Linked DNA regions of Drosophila melanogaster. The protein of the gene in region 2 interacts with the protein of the main gene of each other region in a pairwise test. Each region holds a gene or a part of one and is shown on either strand. Other genes may lie near its edges.

Region 1 (3,414 bases), on a different chromosome or scaffold from region 2:
GAACCATCGTCCATCGACGCTCCGCTGGAGTCATCCTTCAACAGATTGGTGCTGCACATCTTGCTCTCGGTGTAGATAAACTCGTAGTCCTTGTACAACTTCTCCAGGCCAATTTCCAAAAGCAGTTCCAGAGGCTCGGCCCCACTTAAACAAGGCATGGCCAGACGACGGTTGGCCAACTCGGTGATAATCTTGGCAAGTCGATTTTTGTTAGTAGGCGTGTTCTATGGGGTGAGGAACATGAATAATATGTGGTGGTTTGCATGCATTAGCATACTTACTACTATGTTACACCGTGCAGCACATTGGAAGAGCATACTAAAGGCAATTTTGAGATCCTTGTAGGAGTGGCAGCACTTGAGCAGCTCCCAAAGCTTATCGGTTAGATCCGTGAGCTGGCGAACCTTGGCCCTCTGCACCACATCTTCGATGTCAAACTCCGCATTGCTGATGCTATACCGACCTATAAGGCCAGAGACATCTGTCATTGTCTGATTAATGGACTCGCGCAGCTCGTCCATGTCAATGCCACTGCCACAACGATAGGTGGGATCCCGAGAGACGCCCTGCTTGACATCCGTGTGGTAGGAGACGATGTCCTCGCGTATGTAGACCAGAATGCGCAGCTGATTCATAAAGTCCTGCGTCAAAGGACCGCAGTCGCCCACGCGAAAAGTGTGATTCAAAGCCACATCGCAGTCGTTCAGGTTCACCAGGAGCGGAAGTGCAGCACTAGAGGTCCAGGAGCAGCGTAGTCTCATGTGGGGATTGACCTGGTAGCTATTTTCAATGAGAGTTTCATCCGGTGTCTTGCCATGATGGCGCACCAGGGCTTGCGAGGTTACTAAGTAAGCAGGGCGCACACCCTGGTAGCTAAGTATTCCCCTGGAGAAGTGCGTAGGGTTGAACTCGTACTGGAGCAACTGAGTCTGCCCGAGATCACTGCCGTCGCACAAAAACCACACGGATCCGAGTCCCTCGGCCAGCTGCAGGAACTCGGAGCACACGATGGACCTAGCCTTGTCCACGGGTATTCCGCGTTGATATTCCTCCTCCAGCTTCCAGGGATTCGAGTGATCCAGCTGCAGGTCGATGGACAAGTCGGCTATGGCGTCCACCAGGCAGTCGTCCTTCAAAGGACTTCCCGTCAGATCCAAGTCCGCAGAGCCCTCTTTTTTTGGGGCTGCCCTGGTGGGCGTGGTCCGGAGTCTCGCCACTGCTCCATTGCGATCCTCCTTAAAGACCAGCACAATCTTCTTGCCAGCTTCCGCAGCCCCCACCATGCTCACCAAGTAGGTGGGTGGCGCTCCATAGGTGATCGTGTATGACTCGCCACACCGCCGCATTAGCTCCGCGTAAACGTTTGCCAAGTTCGCAGAAGCCGACATTTTTGGAGCAAATTCGCAAAACAGAAACAAAAAGCGGCAGTATTTGAAAAGCGAAGCGAGAATTGGTTAAACGGTCACACAGCACTTCGCTTTTTAGTGCACCTCAATAATTTTAGCAGTAAGCCGCGTGAAGGTCACACTGCAACATCGATAGCCGATAGACTTAGGCCAGCAACAATCGATAATTCTTATCCCCGCACGTGTTGAAATTGTTTTCTTTTATTTGGATCAGATTTAATTTAGTTAATTCAGACATGTCGGACTTTGAAATGGAGGACAGTGCCTCGGGCTACGACTCAGGGGATAACTCAGATGCCGAGGTAAGTGAGGAACCGAAGAAATGAACACCCCGTATACCAAAATCTCCACTCTTTTCCTGCAGCTGCAAGCGGCATTTGAGCGAGGCGACTTGAAACCAGGCCTAAATGTGGAATTCAATGGCCAGAGAGACAAAGTGAACGATGTGGTAAGTAGCTAGCTGGATGCCCGCTTTTGAATCGACTAATCCAATCCTGCCCACATAGACCAAACTGCTGGCCAAGACAGAGGCTATCAAGATGCAACTGCCTTGGCTGGAACGCCTGGACATGATCAACACACTAGCTCCACTGGCGCCGGAACTCGCTGTACAGCTGGAGAAGCACGAGCAGAAGCGGGCCAATCTCTTCAAGGGCAACGCCAAGCTGCCCTACATTCGGCCCGAGGAGGATCCCGTCCTGAATGACTTCAAGAGGGAGATGCTCTTCCACCGACAGGCGCAAAGTGCTGTTCTGGAGGCCATTCCCCGCCTTCACGAGCTGGGCATAAAGACTCGTCGACCCGATGACTACTTCGCTGAAATGGCCAAGTCCGACGAGCACATGCAGAAGGTGCGCGCCAACCTGATGGCCAAACAGCAAGGACAGGCGAAATCCGAGCGCATCAAGCAGATCCGCGAGCAGCGCAAGATGGGCAAGATGCTGGCCAAACAGACCAAGGTCCAACGCGAAGCCGAGAAGAAGGACATGCTGGACAAACTGAAGAAGTTCCGCAAGGGCAAGCTGAAAAACCTGGACTTCCTGGAGGACGCCAAGGCGCTTGAGTCCAAGCAGAAGCAGTCAGCCGAGAATCGCAAGAAGCGCAACAAGAAGTTCGGCTTCGGCGGCAAGAAGAAGGGCCTCAAGAGGAACACAAAGTCCTCCTCCGCGGGATTGGATGGCGACAAGTCCTCCAGGCGCCAGCGGGGCGTAAAGGCAGGTGCTTCGGTCAACAAGCGGCTTGGCAAATCGCGACGCATTAAGGCCAAGGGCAGAAAGTAATCCCCGGGACTGCCGACTATATTTAGGTGACCAAACTCTAGTTTTATAAAGCCCCCAATCCTGTATAGATTTTTTAGACCCATAAATACATAACATTTTGTGTGCACACAGCCTTACTTTCGAAATGTGGAATACTCCGTATAGAATTTTAGAATTCCATGAGCAATTTTCATAAATTACATTTTTCTAACATCGTTTATTCTAAAGTGGACTATAACTATTACACGTTCTCCTTGTTCTTTCGTTTCTTTTTTAGTTTTGTGCTAGTTTCCGATTCCTCCGAAGAGTCCGCCGTTTTTCGCTTCTTTTTTGACTTTACTTGTTCATCAGTTTCAACATCCTGGGGCAGTCCTTCAGTTGCTCCAAGCCCTGCTTGCCTATCCGCTCTCTTGTCCTTCTTCTTTTTTATCTTCACTGGCTCTTCGACTTCCACACCGTCTTCCTCTCCCGGCTCCCGTGTCTTATTTTTTTTCCTCTTGATCTTGACGGGATCTTCTGGAGTTTGATGTGCTGGGGATTCCTTTCCTGCCTTCTCAGCCTTGTCTTTCTTCTTTTTCTTGGATTTTATGGGCTCTTCCAGTTGGGAAACCTCACATGCCTCGGAAAACTCCTCCGCTATGGATTTTTTCTTTTTCTTTGCCTTCGTATCACACTGCTCCACACTGTCATCAACTGACTCCACTGCTCGATGCTCGGTTTCAGGCGTAGTCTTCAGCTTGCGCTGAAGC
Region 2 (3,871 bases):
AAGCCCGGTCTGAATTTCTACATGGCTCCCGTCATAATCATCATCATATTCTCCTTCTTTATTGCTCACATTATCCTCTCGCTTTTTGAGGTAGGTATTCCTTTACAATACGACCAAGCTTATGGCTAACCTATGACTCGTTAATAGATGGTAGTGGATACCTTATTCCTCTGTGTCTGCGAGGATAAGACCCTGAATGGTCGCTCTGGTCGTTGGGCACAGAGTAACTTGGCCAAGCTGGTAGGCGAGGAACCGCTGCAGCCTGGCGAGGAGCCGCCCATCGAAGTTGTTCAAATGATGCCCATCAACAAGCAGCCATTTAGTATTACCCGACTCCCTCAGTCCGATCCCGAGGTAGCTCCCATGTCGGCGGATTAGTTCTAAGACGCAGCTAGATGCTTTCGCTTTTGTATTCCAAGCGCAGAACCCCCCGAAACTCAACGCACATCTCATTAGGATGTTAATATTTATATACATACCATTACTCCGTCGCGACGTACAAAGCAGAACAGTGGGACTAATAATAACTGGTAATCTTGTCTATTGATATATTCAAACTTAGGATGCACAGTTTGTAAACGTATTTATAAAGTTTAATCGTTTTTGTATCTTAATGTAAAATGAGGTGTTTAAACCTTTTTCACGCGTTTAATGGTTCTTGCCTTCTTTCTTTCAATCACATCTTTCACGGCCTGCAGTTGTTTCTCCTTGATCTTCTTGGTCAGCGCCGATTTGGGTGTCTGTTTGGCGGCTTCCTCCTTCTTCTTTTTGGCTATCGCAGCCAGTATCTTGGCCGTCTCCACGGGATCATCGTCCTCGAATAGCTCATCGTTATCCATGCCATCGTAGGCTCTAATAGGTCGCGTGGCCTCGTGCTTGACCTTTTGCTCCACTCGGTTCACGTACTTATCCTTGGCAGCCTTCTTAAGTACCTGCCGCTGTTTGGATGGACTCACGTAGTCCGGATTCTCCCAAATGGTTTTGCCAGTGAAGGAACCATCGAATATTTTTACAGGATTCATCACGTAACGCGGCCCGACTTCGGACAAACCGCCATCTTCGGATAGAATCTGGAAATTTCTGAACCAGATGCGTTTGTCCAGGTAGGTGAAGGTGAAAACGTGATCGACGAAGGGCTGGCTCTTGGGATGATGGTTGGGCACGGAGTAGGTCTGCACGAACAGCTCCTTGAGCAGCTTAAGGTGCGGCAGCTCGTCGAATTTGGAGTCAAACGAGAGCAGCGGACGTGATCCCCGCAAGCAGTTTCCCGTCATCTTCAGTTCGGCCATTGTATGAATGTTTTCGATGAGGAATTTAGCGGATGGACCAGTCGATCCCGAGGTGTTGGATATCCACATGTACAGATCCCTTTTCCGGCGTCCCTCGAACAGCATCGCCTTGTTGCAGTGCTTCATTTCGCACATTTCGTTGACCACCGACAAGGTTTTGGAGCGCTCCATTTTGGATTCGGGTCGGTGGTGCGGCATTAGGGTCTTAATATCCTTCATTAAGTGCCGGTCCCGGTGGCTAATACCGCGGGCGGAGAAGACCAGCACGCGCTGTTTGTTCACCCATTTTTCCTGTAAATAAAATCCAGTTTTTAGTTAAGAAATTCGGGTTTAAAAAAGTCACTTTTCTTGCCTTTTTGGGCACCACATCATCTGACGATCTCTGTGGCGGCAGTGGTGGATTTTCATCCAGCGGCACTATCTCCAGCTGCGGCGCGGCCTTCTTTTTCTTATTCTGGAATTTGCGACCCATTTTTTGTAGTTTAAATAATTAAAAACAATTGAACAGTGCGAAGGCAAAACGTGGAGTGACAACAACCAGGGATGGCTATTCATTCAAAGCCAGGGCGTCAACAGCACGTGCACCCGAATAGTGGTATTTTGCAACACTTTATGGGAAGTATTTGAAAAGTCCGTAATTTTAAATCAAAAACTAGAAAAATGTAGGTAAAATATTTTTTAACGGTTTCTTTTATTTTCGTTAAGCTAAATAAACTTTTAAATTTTCATAATCTATAAATTAATTTGAAATTACAATTAGCATGACGTATAGCATCCGATAATTAGCCTCTAGCTGCTGACAAGGGATTTTCAATCATCTTCATCTTCAAGTCCGGGTTCAGGACATAGTCGACATCTGCTCTCATTTACGCCGTAATTCATGCAAAGTTCTCCCACGCACTCGCAACATCCGTCATGAAACCACCTGTAGCTGGTGGCTCCGGTTTTCAGGCAGGTCTGTCGACACTTATTCCAGGATGTGCACTGATCCAGATACAAAACGGTGCAATTTAGACCAGATCCTGGTTTTCCATTCGTTGAAAACGAGACCACGCTCCAATTGTATGTGTATCCATCGTTTGGAGATGAGGACATGGCCCTGAACAAGGCTGGCATTCCTTCGAATTCCTCGGTGTGCGATTTCTTTCGCATTTGTGCCATGTTAGCGAGGCCTAACTCTCCAAAGGATAGCAAAATGTAGATAGTCAGAAGTGTTTTCATATTGATTTGGAATATGCAACTGAAGTGTTGGCGCACTTACAAACGGTTTTTAAATAAGAATATAGTACAGGTAGTAGGTGGTATAATGTTTCAGGTAGAAAATCACTCACCAGCTGCCACTAAGGGCTTTATCTATTTTTATAACTATTACCTAAATGCCCGCAATGGCCCTTTTTGCTGACTTATTATTGGAAATTAATACTTTAATCCATGCAACGCAGTTGGGATCTTTAACATTCCGAGCTGTTAGAAATTACTTTATGAAATATGGATTTTTAAATGTATTTTATGCGGTTATAGTGTAAGAACCAGTTCAATCAAAGGAACCACAGCGTACACAGCCATCGAAACAGTTTAGACGTATATCGATCAGTTCACATCTCTATCTTGTCTGTATACGGCTGTGTGTCAAAGCGGCAAAAGCGAGAAAAGTCGAAGTGCAAATAATTTTAACGGAGCGGAAAAAATATAGATAAATCAGAACCATGTCGGACTATAGATCGCAATCGCGCAGTGGCGGGGGACGTGGCGGTCAGGAGTACTCGAACGACGACGATCCGCCGATGTCGCGTCTCTTCATCATTTGCAACAAGGCGCACACCGAGGAGGATTTCCGTGAAGCCTTCTCGCCATACGGCGAAATCGAGGATATCTGGGTGGTGAAGGACAAGCACACCCAGGAGAACAAGGGAATCGCGTACGTCAAGTTCTCCAAGACATCCGATGCTGCCAAGGCACAGGAGGAGATGAACGGCAAGACCATTGGCAAGATGGATCGCACCCTTAAAGTCCTGGTGGCAGCCAAGTAAGATTAGCTTCGAGAGTACTGGCCCAAAACCATGGTCTAACTCTTATCCTCCTCTTCCAGTCGCAATCAGGGCTCAAATAAGTCTGAGAACGAGCAGGAGAAGTACGTGAGACTCTTCATAGTGATCCCCAAAACAGCCACCGAGGAGGATATTCGCGAGGAATTCTCGCAGTGGGGCGATGTGGAATCTGTCACAATTGTCAAGGAGAAGAACAATGGCAATCCCAAGGGCTTCGGATATGTCCGCTTTACCAAGTGCGTGGCGAATGTAGCATTGCTAATTGTCCTAGCCATAACTAATCTAATCTCAATGCACAGGTTTTACTATGCAGCTGTGGCTTTCGAAAACTGCTCCGCCAAGTATAAAGCTGTCTTTGCCGAGCCAAAGGGTTCTACACGCACACAGCGTGACCAGTACGGCCGTCCCTCCGAGGACAATCCCTTGTATAGCAGCTCGGGACGTGGCAATTCCAATTTCAATGGAGGCGGTAGCAGCAGCGGTGGCGGCGGCAGCAACAGCTACAACAACGACTGGAATGTATCGCAGAACAAC

Evidence for each region. The genes of interacting proteins can lie anywhere in the genome.
Region 1: the proteins of CG11583 (region 2) and CG1542 interact in binary tests that used the Drosophila melanogaster proteins (3 or more experiments, as listed by UniProt).

Annotation. Positions count from the first base shown.
Region 1 is NT_033777.3:31,211,902-31,215,315, forward strand, and holds CG1542 (uncharacterized protein), read left to right. Parts: upstream 1-1,556; 5' UTR 1,557-1,642; coding exon 1,643-1,708; intron 1,709-1,770; coding exon 1,771-1,854; intron 1,855-1,912; coding exon 1,913-2,686; 3' UTR 2,687-2,883; downstream 2,884-3,414. Other genes in the region: zwilch, read right to left, coding at 1-224, 282-1,388; CG15561 (uncharacterized protein), read right to left, coding at 2,907-3,414. UniProt on the Drosophila melanogaster protein: Required for the processing of the 27S pre-rRNA.
Region 2 is NT_037436.4:4,280,969-4,284,839, forward strand, and holds CG11583 (uncharacterized protein), read right to left. Parts: upstream 1,850-3,871; 5' UTR 1,762-1,849; coding exon 1,642-1,761; intron 1,581-1,641; coding exon 630-1,580; 3' UTR 536-629; downstream 1-535. Other genes in the region: Ctl1 (choline transporter-like 1), read left to right, coding at 1-90, 148-378; srw (shrew), read right to left, coding at 2,100-2,510; CG1316 (uncharacterized protein), read left to right, coding at 2,996-3,315, 3,379-3,573, 3,637-3,871. UniProt on the Drosophila melanogaster protein: Required for biogenesis of the 60S ribosomal subunit.